Callithrix jacchus: one gene and its partners. The protein of the gene in region 3 purifies or fractionates together with the protein of the main gene of each other region. This does not show direct contact. Links are inferred from orthologs where the notes say so. Each region holds a gene or a part of one and is shown on either strand. Other genes may lie near its edges.

What was found.
Region 1: the proteins of RNF111 (region 3) and SKIL purify together in Homo sapiens (affinity purification with western blotting; 3 studies listed by BioGRID). This does not show direct contact. The link is inferred for Callithrix jacchus from reciprocal best matches to the Homo sapiens genes RNF111 and SKIL.
Region 2: the proteins of RNF111 (region 3) and SMAD2 purify together in Homo sapiens (affinity purification with western blotting, with the first as the bait; 3 studies listed by BioGRID). This does not show direct contact. The link is inferred for Callithrix jacchus from reciprocal best matches to the Homo sapiens genes RNF111 and SMAD2.

The regions. Positions count from the first base shown.
Region 1 is NC_133518.1:16,691,944-16,696,928, forward strand, and holds the start of SKIL (ski-like protein), read right to left. Parts: upstream 3,108-4,985; 5' UTR 3,015-3,107; intron 1,082-3,014; 5' UTR 415-1,081; coding exon 1-414. UniProt on the Homo sapiens protein: May have regulatory role in cell division or differentiation in response to extracellular signals.
Region 2 is NC_133514.1:91,027,753-91,032,634, forward strand, and holds the start of SMAD2 (mothers against decapentaplegic homolog 2), read right to left. Parts: upstream 3,108-4,882; 5' UTR 2,966-3,107; intron 2,703-2,965; 5' UTR 2,617-2,702; intron 1-2,616. UniProt on the Homo sapiens protein: Receptor-regulated SMAD (R-SMAD) that is an intracellular signal transducer and transcriptional modulator activated by TGF-beta (transforming growth factor) and activin type 1 receptor kinases.
Region 3 is NC_133509.1:4,989,103-4,994,232, forward strand, and holds the start of RNF111 (E3 ubiquitin-protein ligase Arkadia), read left to right. Parts: upstream 1-1,794; 5' UTR 1,795-1,899; intron 1,900-2,102; exon of another isoform or gene 2,103-2,361; intron 2,362-5,130. Other genes in the region: uncharacterized protein LOC144577265, read right to left, coding at 1,330-1,794. UniProt on the Homo sapiens protein: E3 ubiquitin-protein ligase. Required for mesoderm patterning during embryonic development. Acts as an enhancer of the transcriptional responses of the SMAD2/SMAD3 effectors, which are activated downstream of BMP.

The DNA of each region.
Region 1 (4,985 bases), on a different chromosome or scaffold from region 3:
GGAAGGGATGAGCAATGGGCCAGGAAGAACCTGAGGAGATGGAAGAGGCAGAAATACAGTAGGCGACATGCTTTCTTGGGAATACCGAGCAGAAAATGCTGCTGGTCCACCTAGAGAGCTCTGACTACTTAAATGGAATTGTGCCAATGTGTGTTTCAAACTGGGATTTAAATGTAAAGTTTCAGGAACGGAAGCACAGGTTCGCTTGACATGTTCTCCATCAGTTTCCACTGTCATGTCTTCATAGTCATCCAAGTGTTCCTTCTTTACTGTTGGCACCTTGTTTATCATTTTTCCATTTGCATGAATGTCTGTCATCATTTTTTTCTCTGGGGGGCTGCCATCATCTCCCATCCCATTCAGTTTTTTAGTTGAACCCTGAACCAAGGAGAAATTTGTCTGGAGGTTTTCCATTGCTACACTACTCTGTTAAACAATTAAGTCTGAGATTTGCATTTCTATTTAATTACTTATTTGAAAAGGGGAAAGTAATGAATATACAAATACTTATGATAACTTACTTTCACAAAAACTTTCTAAAGAGAGATCCCCTTAAATTACTCAATACTTAGTTTTGGTTCTCCTTATAATCTGGCATAATTCCACTACAAAGCCTATGAAATTGTTCGTTTTGCCTCCAATAATAAAGAATAGAAGCACACCTCTGAGAATGCTTTGTTTTCTTGAATTCTTCAGAAATACGTATCAAAATAAAGTTACCAATTTCTCAATTCAAGATGTCCAGGATCAACGCAATGGTTTGGTTTCCTTTGTTATAAACAAACACATGAAAAGTTTCTGTCATTCCTTGGGCCATAAAATCTAGACTCAAACACAAGTCAAAATGATGCAACCCAATTTAATCTTTACCACTAAGGAAACCAAAAAGGAGGGCAGAGGGAGTATTTCCTCTAAAAACGATGGTCTGCTGGTGTCCGTGCTGAAAAACTGAAGACGTGTAAATCCTCACACCAGGAAAAACAGCCTCTGCCTTCTTGAACTTCTACAATCAACAATGATACTTAACAAAAAATTGCCCAATTATCTTCAAAGATTACAGTTCATTCTTCTTTTAATTAATCTGCAAGAGAAGGGGGTGGGGAATAGTTACATTTGAATTTGCTCCAGAGGCCAAAGAAAACCAGTTTCCTTTCTTTCCTTCTTAAGAGTCTCGCTCTGTTGCCCAGGCTGGAGTACAATGGCACAACCTCCGCTCACTGCAACCTCCGCCTCCCGGGTTCAAGCAATTCTCCTGTCTCAGCCTCCCGAGTAGCTAGGACTGCCGACGCACGCCACAACGCGCAGCTAATTTTTTTGTATTTTTAGTAGAGACAGGGTTTCATCATATTGGTCAGGCTGGTCTCGAACTCCTGGCCTCAAGCGATCCACCTGCCTCAGCCTCCCAAAGTGCTGGGATTACAGGCGTGAGCCACCGCACCAGGCCGAAACCAGTTTCTTAATATTAAACTGAGTTCACTTTACCAAAGGTGACGCTTGAGTGATTTCTTTAAATCTAACACCAGTTTATTAGAACATTCACTTAAATAGGAAAGCAATTTGGAGTTGGGTAAAGGGAGCAATAATGTAACACAAAAGGCCATTTGAGTTCAGAATATGAAGAATCTTAAACAGATCATCTCCATCAGTACCAGAGGCTTTTTCAGTTATGTATGCCATTTTAAGGGGGAAAAAATACATTACTTCATCTCCTATTTAAAAAAAAACAGTTTCATCCAAAAAAAATCAAATAGGAGTTAACATATATCTACCATATGTAACTAAGTTACAATTTTAAGTGGATTAATTCAGCTGGTCCGTGTATACCATTTTTCTGGAATGACTGTAGGCAAAAATTAACTGTCTCTTTTAAAAGGTTAGCGATTTTACTTAATGGAAGCCAAAAGCTTATAGACTCCATGCCTGGGAATCTCCATCCTTGAACAAGACTAATCCGGGACAAAAAGCACAAGGCAGACAAACCTCACAAAGAATGCAAATGGAGGAAGAGGGGGAAAAGAAAAGACTCTTCTTCCACTTCCTTCGTGAGAGAAACCCCAAAAGAAATCCAATAAATAGAAATTTTTGCTTCCCTAACTGTCAGCAATTTACCATAAAACAGACCCAAAGGAGTAAGGACCAATGCTACCAGCCATCGTACGGACTTTTGTCCACCACAGGAACACATCTCACTTAACACAGGCCAAGGAAGAGGGCAAGAGGCATGACCTAGAATGGGGGAGCCCCCAAAACCCTGAAGTCCTCCGCCCACTCAAAGCCACTCACCTATCTCTAACCCGAAGAGGAGGAAGAACAAGGGACACGGGAAGCCTGGGAGTGGGTGTGCAAGGGGGTGGAGGAAAGTAAAGGGAGGAGTCCCCCCACCCCCATCAGCGAGCCTGGGATAACCTCAAGTGCCCTCCCAACACTGCCCCCCCGCGGGAGCCGCGGGAAGGACTGTGGAAATCCCCCCCACTCGCACCCTCTCCCCGGGAACTTCTCGGGTGTCACCCCAGCGCCCCTAATGCTGCACCTCCCCCGCCCTGCCAGCTCCGGGCCAGAACGAAGAGGGCACCGGGGCAGTTCAGTCGCCGAGCGAACATCCCCGCGCCGCCGGGGGCTGACGGGCAGGGTCGAGCCCAAGGCATCCCCGTGGAGCGCTGCTGGACGGTGGGAGGGGGGTGGTGACGGGCGTCCGGGTCTCCCGGGTCTCCCGGGTCCCCGCGGCTCCCGTCAAGTGCAGCGCCCAGCCCTGCCTGCGCCCACCGCCTGGAGCCAACGAGGCGTAATCCCTCGTGGGACACGCGCCTTGCGACTCCCTCTGGCTCCGACCCCACCCGGGACCCGCGCATCCAAAGCCCCTACTCGGGCCTCGGCGACTGGGGAAGCTCGACGAGCTTTGTGAACTCCCCACCGCCCCTGTCGCCGCCGTCGGGCTCCCCGGAGGCTGAGCGCCTCTGGCCTCCAGCCGCCTCCGCCGCGTCCCCCCCCCGCGCACCCACGAGCCGGAGCCGCACCTGTGCCCGCCGCCGCCGTCGCCGCTCGCCCTCTCCCTTCGGCTGTGCCGGCGCCGCTCCGAACCCCACACACATCGCTACACACAGCCCTCTGACGTCACCAGCCCTCGGCCCGCCCACGTCACTGCGGAGACACACGGCTTCCCGCAGACGCCGCCGCCGTCTCCGGCCGCCCGGGGGAGAGCGAGGGCGGCGGGGAGGGGGAGGGGAAGGGAACAGAGCCAGCGGCGGTGCCGCGCGCGCGGGCTCGCCGGCGTCGCCGGGGCCGCCACTTCGCGGCTCCCAGATCTCTCGGAAACGCGCGCGCCGTCTGGCCTATTGTGGCTCCTCAGAGCGCCCCCGACCCCTGGCCAGGTCGTCCCGCGCGCGCGTCCCTCCCCCAGGCGCGCGCGCCCGGCGCTCCTGGCCCCGCGCGCCGTCTGGGCGGCTGGCGCGCGGCGCTGTCTGCGGTGCACCCAGCGCAGACAGGATGTTCCCTCCCCACTCCACCCTCACCGCCGCCCTCCCTCCTTCCTTCCTCTAGTCGCCCAGCCGGCTGTCTGGGGCCTCCGCCCCGGCCCCGCCCCACCCGCCGCTCTGTGGTGAAGGGCCAGACCCTGGGGCGCCCTGGACGCTCGGCCGCCGCGCGGCGGGGAAGAGGGGGCAGGGCAGCCGCGCCGTGCACTGTGCGCGACCCCAGCAGCCCGCAGGGCGGAGGCAGTGCCCGCCCGGCAGAGCGCCGCCGCCCGAGGTCAGGCACGGGCGACCCTCCCCCCGCGGGGCCGCAGCTGGGCCGCCCCGCCCCGGAGGCAGCCGGGCGGCGACCGCCCTGCAGGGCCCCCGGGGCCGGCTCCACTCCCCGCCCCCGCGGGACCTCCCTCCTGGGCTGCCCCTCGCCCCCGCGGGGCCTCAGGCCCGAGGGCCGCCCAGCCAGCTGCCAGAGCTCCGCCCCGTCCCGGCGGCCCCAGCCTCGCCAGGGCGGCCTCCACCCAGACGCCTTCCCCTGGCTGACCTCCATCCGCCATCGGGTCGGGCGGGAGGGGTGGCCAAAGTTCCGGCACAACCGTGAGCAAACATTTCTGTCTCTGCTCCCCAGGCTCCTGCCCCCAGCCCACCAGGCTGCTCTCTCGGTTCCAGAGGGGAGCTATAAATTACAGGTTTCTACAGTGTTTACTGAGGGTTTTTTTTTTTTTTTTTTTAAAGAAGGGCAAGACGAGGTGGGAAAGATAGGACTTAAGAGCTTTCCGGCAGCGACCCTCTGCGGCTTGTAGGGTGGTCTTCCTGGTTCCCAGGGTTGCCGGTTAGCATATTGAACTCTGCAGAGCTGCTCCGTCACATTTCGAAACACCAAGAAATCCCCTTTTCTCCACCCCACCACAAGATCTGGAACCGAAATAGTCCACCGAGTAGCAGTGCACAAAATTGAGGAGACTCGGGCTTTGTCCCCTTTTTTCCCCCATTTTCGTCCAATTTCTTCTGGGTTTTACTGCTTCAGGTCGTTCCTATGGGGGCCCACGTTTGGAGTCGCTGGCTGGAAATACTCTTGTGCTCGTAGATTTTTTTTTTTTTCCTTTTTTTACAACAGGCCTCCCAAAGGCTCACAAGCCTCTCAAGCCCTACCGCTCCCCGCACCCCCACCCAAGTTCCCTTCCTTAGGCCCCCTCCACCGAGCTCCCAGGTCGTGCTCCCTCTCTACCCCCCCACCTTTTCTTCGTTCTTGACTGCCTCCTTTCCTGAACATGAATAATTCCACAGCACTTCCCATCTGTTATTGCCATAGAGACAGAAGCTTGGCAAAGATAATGATGTTCTGTGCAGAGCCAGTGGGGGGAAAACAGCATCTGTGAGTCTGGGGTGGGGGATAGATTTTCTAATTGTGAGAATATTCAGAAGGCCTGGCTGAAGATCCGATGCGAAGACTGGACAGTCCTGAAACTTGGCTCCAGGTCAACTCTCAGCACTTGGCTCCTGTGTCTGGCCAGAGGAACAATT
Region 2 (4,882 bases), on a different chromosome or scaffold from region 3:
TACATGTGATAGGAGGCATGGCAAGCACACTTGAGGAATGGCTCAGTAACACATGCTCCCTCAATTTGTACACTAACAATTTTCTTACTCTGAACACTGGAGAATCGGGCAATGGACATGACTTTCCACTTTTCTAATTCCATTAAGGAAAAGGGGTGTACTTTCTTGCTGATACTTTATTGCCTAGACCAAAGCCCAACTCACAGAAAAAGCTGTTTGATGAATAAATGCCACTTGGTCAATACAAGTTATTTGTTGAATAAATGCATACCTCTCCTAAATTGGCTTGGAATTCTTTACATTCACATTTTCTGACACACTTTTGCAAAACTTAGTGGAAAACATCTTCCCTCTTACAGAAACTAAGGGCCTAAAAATAGCTGTTCTATACACATCAAAAGACTAGGAATCTTAAAAGACATGAATCCCTTCACCCTCTAAAAATGACTCTTGTCCCAAGAATATGAAATCTCCATTTGCAAAATGTAAAAATTCAATAGGTCTTTGGCCAGCAGTTTATGCAGCTAAACTGAGGTTTTCCATTCACATATATTCCCCTAAATGTGAAGTAACAAGATTACAGCAACATGATTCTAATATTTATTACGTAAAAATGAAAAGGGGACAACCTCTTGCCATCTTGAAGTAGAACAGAAATAACCTTTGTTCCTATTAAAGAGAAACTCTGTTGAAATACACAAAACCATCGCCTATATTCCTACATAAGAGTTAAAAACACATACCAAGCCTGATAAGCCACAAACAACAGGAAATTACCCTGCACAGTTTCTTAAAAGACTATTATTTCATGAAGCTTACCGACTATGTGGAGACATGACCACTTATGACTAAGTACACGTAGGTTACAACCTTGAAACACCAAACTTTTGTTGAACATCTTCAACGCTTTAGCCGCACTTTAGAAGGTGTGGCAAAGTATAAAAAGCAAGCTGTAAGAGCAATTTCTTACTAAAACCCCAAAATGAACGTTTCCAATCACATTCCATTAATTAAACCTGGCCAGTGAACTGACTTGAACTCAATTAAATCCAGTTAATATTTATAGTAAGTGTATAAGTGGGTACTCGGTTTAGAAATGCCCAAGGTGTGAACTATTTATATTTACTACCACACCCAAGTTTACCGCAAAGGCTAAGAAACTTTAAAAATTAAAGTATTACTTTTGAATTTAATATATACGTTTGCTAAATGACCTTTTGGCAGACGAAATTCTTTAAATATCTTGTGTGGGTTTTCTGAAGGCAAATTTTTAAAAAACCGTCAAACTATGATACATTTATGAAGCCCATTTTAAATTCCTTCTCACATCTCTGCCGCATTTGCTTCACTAATTCATGTATTAAAAAATGTTGAAACTCCATTTAACTATTTGACTAAGTTCAATGTAAGATGAAAACTTTTTGAAAGGGGGTTAAAATAGAAGAGCAAATTTTCAGCATAAGAGCAAATTTATTATTAGGCGCAAGAAAAACATCCTATCAGTGATTCATTCATACGAACCTATCAGGTTCAATTCATATGAAGTCAGAAAAGAGAAAAGGAATTTTGGAAATTCATTCACATTTCAAGGACCATTTGCAAAAAGGTGAAACTACTTCCAAGTTATTTATTTATTAACAATTATTTTACACATATCTTTTAAAAATTTTCACACACCAAAATTTAAGAGTATCAGCTGTGTGCGTGTCACACACACAAGCCATGGAAAACTCGAGACTACTATTGTTAACAAAGGTTATCAGACCAAAAAAAAACTATAACAAACAAGACAGAACTAATGGAAAATGCTGCTTGCAAATTCGTTTCACCTGGAGTTTTTTGTTTTTTGTTTTTTTAAGGTATGGTTGACACTACACTGGTGCTGTTTTGCTTTTAAAGGGTCAAGAGGAAGGAGTAACAAATCAACCCAGGTATTCTCTTTCTGTTTAGGATCAAAAGGAAATCATAAGGGTAAGTAAAAGACAAAAGTACTTGAACCAAGGACAGTATCCCCTAAGAGAACAAAATAAGTTGCAATTTTGACAACCAAATTTGAAATACGTGAAATCACTTAGAGGGCTTTCCAAAGGCGTGTGATAAAAACTAATAGGCTCCACCCGCAGAACAACTTTCACAAATGAGTGAAGGATGATCACAGAGTATCAGCTGTGTTCGTGTTTGTGAGTATACACAAGCCATGGAAAACCCGAGACTACTATGGTTAACAAAGGTTACCGGACCAAAAAAAAAAAAAAGTGGAAGCAAAGTATTACGCGCCCCTAACACAGCTTCCCCACAACTCCTGAAACAAGAGCTCTGGCTCTTCGGCTTTAAAAATCAAAACCACAAACTATGGAGCGTGAGAGCCGCGAGGGGAAGGGACGCAGGCATCCTCCGCCCCCGCCAGGCTGGGCGGCAGCACTGACCGCCAAGCCCCGTCCCTCCCGGGTTCTCCGGCCCCCAACCCGCACCACCGGGCCCGCGAACCCACAGCCCCCGAACTCGCCACACCCCAGCCCCCACCAGCCGCGGCCATGTGACACGGCCCATCACCCCAAGCCGCGGCCGCACACAAACACACCCCTATCCCGAGGCCCGCGGGCGCCGAGGCTTTACCTGCACAGAGGCACCAGGTCCCGCCCCGTCAGATCCGGGGGGTCCAGGACCTTTTGTTCCTTCCTCTTCCGATGGGATGGAGGGGGCTGGGAGGGGAAGAGGGGAATGGGCGATTGGAGGCGGAACTGAAAACACTCCCCGCCGCCGTCTTCCCGCCCCGCCCCCAGGCCCGGGCCCGGCCAGCCACCCCGGCGCGCGCGAGGGGAGGGGAGAGGTGGGGGCCTGGCCGCCGCCCGCGGGGAAGGAGGGGGTGAAGACGCGGGCGCCCGCGCCGCCCCTCCTCCCCTCAGGCGCGCGCCCGCAGCCCTCCCCGCCGCCCGCACGGCCGCGCCCTCCCCCGCCGCCCCACCTCCGCTTCCGCCCTCGGCCGCCGACCGCCGGCCGCCGCGCACCCACCTCCCGGCGGCTGGCGGGCTGCTGGCTGGCTAGCTGCTCCTCCGCCGCCGCGGCCGCGCGGGTAGACCCGCCTGCCACCCCGGGCCGCGGGCCCCGCCGATTCGCCGGCGCAGCCCCGGGGCTGGCACCCTGCCTCCCGCTGATTGGCGCCTCCAGCCGCCCGTTAGGGCGCGAGGCACGCTGGCCAAGCGTCGCGCGGGGCGTGTACGGAAGACGGAGGGAGCGGAGGAGGAAAGGAACGAGGCCGAGCGCCGCGGGAAGGGCCAGGGGGCGAGCGGGGCGCGGGGAGTCGCCGGCCACCGCCTCCCCACCTCCCTTTGCCTACGGCCCGCCCCGCCTCCCGGCCGGACCGGCGGCGCCCGCAGCCAATCAGCACGCGGGGAGCTCGGGGTGTGAGCCGCGCGTCGGGGGCCTCGAATCGGAAGGGAGACGTCGCTTGCTGATTGGTCCCGCCTCCCCCGTCTAGCGTGAGGCGAGGCGGGGCGCGGCCGGGCGGGGCGGGACGCCAGCGGTTTCGCTTGAGTTGGGCTTCGGCGCGCTCCCATCTGGGCTCGCGGGTGGGGAGGGAGAGGCCCGTCCCTTGTCGCGCTAGAAAACGATCCCCGGCAACTGCCGGGTCCCTCGCCAGCGCCGTGGGGTGGGTCCTGTGGGGGCCTGCCGCCTCGTCCACGGTCCGTCGTGAGGCCGGGGCAGACACGTGCTCATGCCACGGGGAGGACTCGGGCAGCCCGGAGGACGCGCCCGGGAGAGAGGGGTTCTGGAGAAGCCGGGTGCGCCCTATGCAAATGAGTGGGCGGGGCCCTCGTGCTGCAGACGAGGGCGAGTTCGCAATGTAAATAAGCCCGGAGCTGGGGTCTTTCAGGAACACTTAGGCCTGGGCAGGGGATGCCAGGTATAAGAGTTTAACCTGAACCTTGGTTCCTTCTTCAGCAAGGATGATAGCAATAATGCATGTCCGGAAGGGTCTTTGTGAAGTCTAAAAGAAACGCCTGTCACGATGCCCCTTAATGGTTGGGCTATCTTCCCTTCCCCTTTTCTCCACTGTTGGGCCATTAGGCCCGGGTCTGCACATCTGGCCTACAGGAGGCAGCAGGCCCTACACTTACGACTGCCCAGGGCATAACCGCACCCAGGGGAAAGCTTGTTGCTTTTACCCTTAGGAACACCCAAGCCTCTGGTGACAAAATATTGATCCCAACTAATGACATCAAGTATTTACTATGCACCCACTGTGACACAGGCAGGGAGCATCGTAGAACTAAAGTTGAAAAGAAATAGGTCTCACACAGGTGCCAAAGACTAGAACTCAGTTTTCTTGGCTGCCTGTTCAGAAACTGGATTACTTTATAGATTCAGTTGGGGACTTGGGATAAACAAGCTGGAAAAAAGCACTAGCAATACAAATCAGTAATCAGGAAGTACCAATGAGCACTTCAAACAGTAAGAGTTTTTAAAGTATAATCTTTCTTAAAAATGAAGGTGTCCCAGAGGAGGGTGCCTTCAGATGGATCTTAAGAGTGATGTGGCCATCCCCTGAGTCATACACGTTTTCCAGATGTCCTTTCAAAATCTCTGTCCTTTCTACCATCTCCTCACACACGGAGGAACTTTTCTCAAGCAAAAGTTGCGAGGAAGAGCGCGAACCCAGGAATCAGCTACAATCACATTGTAGCTTTGAGTACGGCTCTGTTCCATAGCTAATCTTTGGCAAATGGAACTCACCTGCAGCCATATCTACTTAAATATAGTTGTGTGATGGTTAAATAATAATATGAAAGTAAATAGCATAGGACTTTGAAGTTCAGGGAAAGTCTGTGATCATTAACTTCTCTTCTGTTGCATGCAAACATTTATGCTAAGACAAAGCTAC
Region 3 (5,130 bases):
GTATGATACCTTTGAAATTCGATGTGTATTTTTCAGTTAAAGCACTTCTCAATTTGTACTCACTGCTTTTTCTTATCCTTTTGAGGAAGGGAGAGGGAAAAGGAAAAGGAGAAGGGACAGGGAGAAGAGGGGGGAGTCTAGCCACATTTTAAGTGCTCAGCAGCCTACCTAATTGAAAAGCACAGGTCAAAAGCTTTAGAAAAAAGGGTAGAGCTGGAAATACAGGTTTGAGAAGTCGTGAGGCGGTAACAGTTAAAGCCACGGGAGAAGATAAGATAATCCAGGCAAAAGTGAAAAAAATAGGAGGATTGAGGAAAACCCTAGTCGAATGCTCTTTTAGTTTCTCCACACAATCTGCTATCCTTATTATTATTGTAATTGAAAAATCATTTGTGTTTTTTTTTCTTTTGGAGACAGAGTCTTGCTCTGTCGCCCAGGCTGGAGTGCAATAGAAGGATCTCCGCTCACCGCAACGTCTGCCTCCTGGGCTCAAGCCATTCTCTTGCCTCAGCCTCCCGAGTAGCTGGGATTACAGGCGTCCACCACCACGCCCGTCAGAAGTTTGTATTTTTCGTAGAGACGGGGTTTCGCCATGTTGGGCAGGCTGGTCTTGAACTCCCGACCTCAGATAATCCACCCGCCTCGGTCTCCTAAAGTTCTGGGATTACGTCATGAGCCACGGCGCCCGGCCAGAATCATTTGTTTTCTGAACGACGTGGAGAATATGAGTGAGCACAAAAAGGCACTGAAACAGATAAGTTGGTGGCACGGGGGGGGGGTGTTAATGTTTCGTCAACACCTCATTGTCAAGTAATGTTCAGAGCATTCTATTAATTGTCTCATTTAATCTAACAAGAAGCTTTTTAGGTAAATATGTTATCTCAATTTATAGAGGAGGAAACTAAGATTTATAAGGGTCTCATAAATCCAAGAACTAGATTTTTGAAAGGAAGTCTGTCTGATGGACTCTAAAGCCCATTCTCTCTGTATCCGCCTAGTGCCTATAATGAAGCATTTGTGATCTACTGACTTTTATAAAATAAACACGGCAGCTTATGCGATTGTACAGCCAGAGTTAGCAGGATATCTCTTACCACTTTTGACTTGATTCCGGAAGCAAATTCGTTTTAACAGTGCGGTGCGGTGATCTTTATGTCCTTAGCGCATATGATACGGACATCATTCATAGTGAAGGACACTAACCCCATCATGTGTTTGTTTACACGTGTCAGTCATTCTGTAGCTGGTTAACTTTTTAGTTAGAAAAAGACGAATCAGGGTGTAGTCAGGATTTGGATTCAATGTTGAACGCGTAATCGCCAAATAAAATTAAATAGTGGGCTTCGTGACACTGTTCAGTTTCGCCAGGAGACTGATGAAAGCGGTACAAAGGGGGAGGGCCGGGGCCGAGGGGGCGGGGCGCTGAGAGACGGGACTCGGGCACGCGCAGAAACAGACAGATGTTACTGGAGGCGTGAAGGCTACTGCCGCCTCACTTTCCGGACTGTCGTAAAGGCCCCTAGTGTCGTGCTCCCCTCGGTGGGGTAGGAATTGGTTAGGCGGCGGCGGCCGGGGAGCGGCGGCGGCGGCGGCGGGGAGGCGTTCGGTCTGCGCAGCGCAGAAACGCCCGCAGCTTCCGAGGAGGAGCCCCTGCGGGACCGAATCCGGCATCGTGAGCCCACGCCGGGCCAGCTGGGCCGAGTCCAGGCGCTGCCGCACGTCCGGCTTTGGTGGCGGTGACAGACACTGCTCCTGACTCTCCGGGCCTGTTAGGCCGACGTCTGGGGCGCACATCGCCGGCTGTCGGCGCCGCGCTCGTCACGCGTTACGCCTCTGTCTTCCCTCCCGGGTCACTGATCCCCGGACCCCGGAGGAGCTGGGGGGCGGCTCATGACTAAGGTGAGGGGGGCAGGGGGGAGGGGATGCGCTGGAGGCCGCGCGTGCGCGCCGCGCGGGAGGGGCCGGGCCGGAGCGGAGAAAGAGGAAGGGCTGCGGCCGCGGAAGGCTGGGGTCGGCGAGCGGCCGCTTCTCGCCGGCGCGGCGGGGACCGAGGCTCTGCGTCCCCGCGGACGTCCCGCGTTCGGGCGAGGCGTCCGTCCGCCGACACACCCACAGCCCGCAGGGAAGGGAGCGTGGGTGAGGGGACGCCTCTCCCTCTTCCCGACTGTGCCCGGAGTCTCCGGATGGGGGCTGAGGACCGGGGCGTGGGAGTGCGCTGTGACAATGGAGTGCTGCAGGGAACCCGGGCCCGGGGACTTGCGGGGCGCTCGGTGGCCCTGACGGCCGCGGTGTCGCCCGCTGCTGCCGTGGCCGGGGAAACGTAGTCCCCGGAACAGCTGGGACACGGACGCGTCGGATTCGGTACGGGGTTGGCTCGTTGGTCGTTTAGAAGGAAGCTTCGTGTTTTTACTTTTGTCCTCGGATAATTGATCCGAGTCAGTGGGGGGTGCCGTCGCGGGAACGTCTGCCCGGCGCTGCGGAAGCAGATTTGTCACAGCAGCTCCTAAATAGGTTATAGTAGATCTCTGCAGACGGGTATTGCTCAACCTGAGTGCAAGTTTTGATATTCCAAAAATACCAGGAAGTGTAGGGTATTCGTTCAGTCTGTTCGTGTGTGCTGTGTGGGGTGACTCCATTGTATTGTTGGAAGCTTTCCTGTTTCTTGATTTACGTGGGCATTAATTTAGGATTCTCTTGAATGGTAAGATGCCGGCTGACACGGACTTCGTTTTGTAGGAGTTCCTGTAGCTTTCGAACCTGACTTAATCTAAACTTTATTTCATTTGGTATTTTACCTGTAATTTTCTTGTTTTAGGGACCTCTTCAACCAAAAGAATCTACTGGGAAAAAGATAAGCTAAGGTTCCATTTCCTTTCCCATTTGTGTGTGTGTGTGTGTGTGTCTGAGAGAGACATACTTGTAAATGCTTGAATGTGATTTTAAGAATACCACACACAAGTTCTGTAACACTGAACTTACAGTAAAGGTTACTTTTGATACTTTGTTGCTGTATGTGTTTTCATAAACGTCTTCATTTCAGTATAAGCCACATTGTTTCACCCTAGTCTTTGATTATATTTGTGAGGTAAAACAGATGGATAAGAAGCAAGGCCTTTTAAAGTACTCTTCAATTGATTTTTTTTTTTAAAGACTTGATTTATTGTACTTTCTTGTCGTTTAACCTTGGACAAATGACTTTATCATCTCTCTCCTGCTCGTTGTGACCAAGGACTCACAAAAGTATTGTAAGAATTGGTGAGGGTGTTTATAAATTGGTCTGAACAATATTATGGGAAAAAGTAGGAAGAGTGAGTCTCTCCTTGCTTATCATGGGTGCTGTGTCGTGTGTAGGTGTTTCTGTCACTTTAACTTTTGTTTGGTGTCAGTTGACCACTTGCTTGGTAGTTGTTTCACCAGAAAGAGAGTTGGTTTTTGAAGAAAGGTATAACAAAGTGACTTCGTTTTGGTGAAAAATGCATTACAGCAGAGGTTACACCTTAACAAATTTCTCATTGGTGCTCCATTTCTACAGATTATTGAGAGGGAGCTATACTGATGTATACGGAACAGCTCCTTGCTTGTATAAGGCCAAGGTATAGTCACTTATCAGATACTCCTAAGTAGTTATTTTACTTTAAAATTTAAAATGTGAAAGAAACTAATTGAATCAAACCGTTTAGATTTTTAGATGTTTCTTTTATTGTTGTAGTTTCAAAAGGAATTTCTGTATCATGCTTTACTTAAGGCATGCTTATATGTGAAAAACTCTTCTTTTGAGTTTTTCTCCCCCCTTTGGGCTAAGACTTAAATAGGAAATAAAAGAGACAATCTAAAAATTGATAGCAGTTAAATATGTTGTAACTTGGCATTAACATTCTATGGGTAACATTATCCTGTGAATCTTAGGGCTAGAGACAGGAGATCTAGATTTTAGATCTATCTTTGCTTGCTCTACGTAAGATCTCCCAGTTGATTGTTAACCCTCCTTGGGCTTCAGCTCTCCCTGTTTACTTGAGAACTGTAGAATAGATAACTGGTTTTCTCTAGGTTCCAAATTAATGGTTTGTGTATCTAGGTAGGTTTTTGGTACTGAAAGCATCAATTCCCTCATGATAGGTATATGGATAACACCTATGATGAAACTGTCGGCCAGGCATGGTGGCTCACCCCTGTAATCCCAGCACTTTGGGAGGCCAAGGCAGGCAGATCACTTGAGGTCAGGAGTTCCACTAGCCTGGCCACCATGGTGAAACCGCATCTCTACTGAAAATACAAAAAATTAGCCGTGCGTGGTGGTGTGTGCCTGTAGTCCCAGCTGCTTGGGAAGCGGAGGCAGGAGGATGGCTTGAATCTGGGAGGTGGGGGTTGCAGTGAGCTGAGATCATGCCACTCACTGCAGTCCAGTCTGGGCGACAGAGGAAGGCTGTTTCAAGACAAACCAAAAAACCTGATTGTTGTTCCGCATATCATGGCTATTGCTGTTGCATTGTAGATGTAAAGTACTCAAGCTTTAACAGCTTTCACATGGTACTAAGATTTTTTTTCATTACTCCTGATAACATTTTAAAAATTGTCCCGAATAATTTTTCAGAAGCCTGTGATTATTGTTCAGTAAAAGTCCAGAGTTATATTTGAATATCTTATACTGGACTCTGTTTTTTTTCTTTCCTACATCCTACAGATGATTGGTAACAGCTGGCCCAGTTTTCTACAAGTACCCAATTTATATATTACATGAGGAGTGAATTACAAATGTTTAAAGACAAATACTTATCTGAGACTAGTTGCCCTGGCTCACACCTGTAATTCCAGCACTTTGGGAAGCAAAGGCAGACAGATCACGAGGTCAGGAGTTCCAGACCAGGCAGGCCAACATGGTGAAACTCTGTCTCTACTAAAAAAAAAAAATACAAAATTTAGCAGGGTGTGGTGGTGGCACACGCCTGTAATCCCAGCTACTCGGGAGGCTGAGGTGTAATGGCTTGAACTTGGGAAGTGGCGGTTGCAGTGAGCTAAGTGCACTGCACTCCAGCCTGGGTGACAGAGTAAAACTCTGTCTCGAAAAAACAAAACAAAAGAAAACAACAAAAAGACCCCCGATATTTAGCTGAGCTTACATACTGCATTATT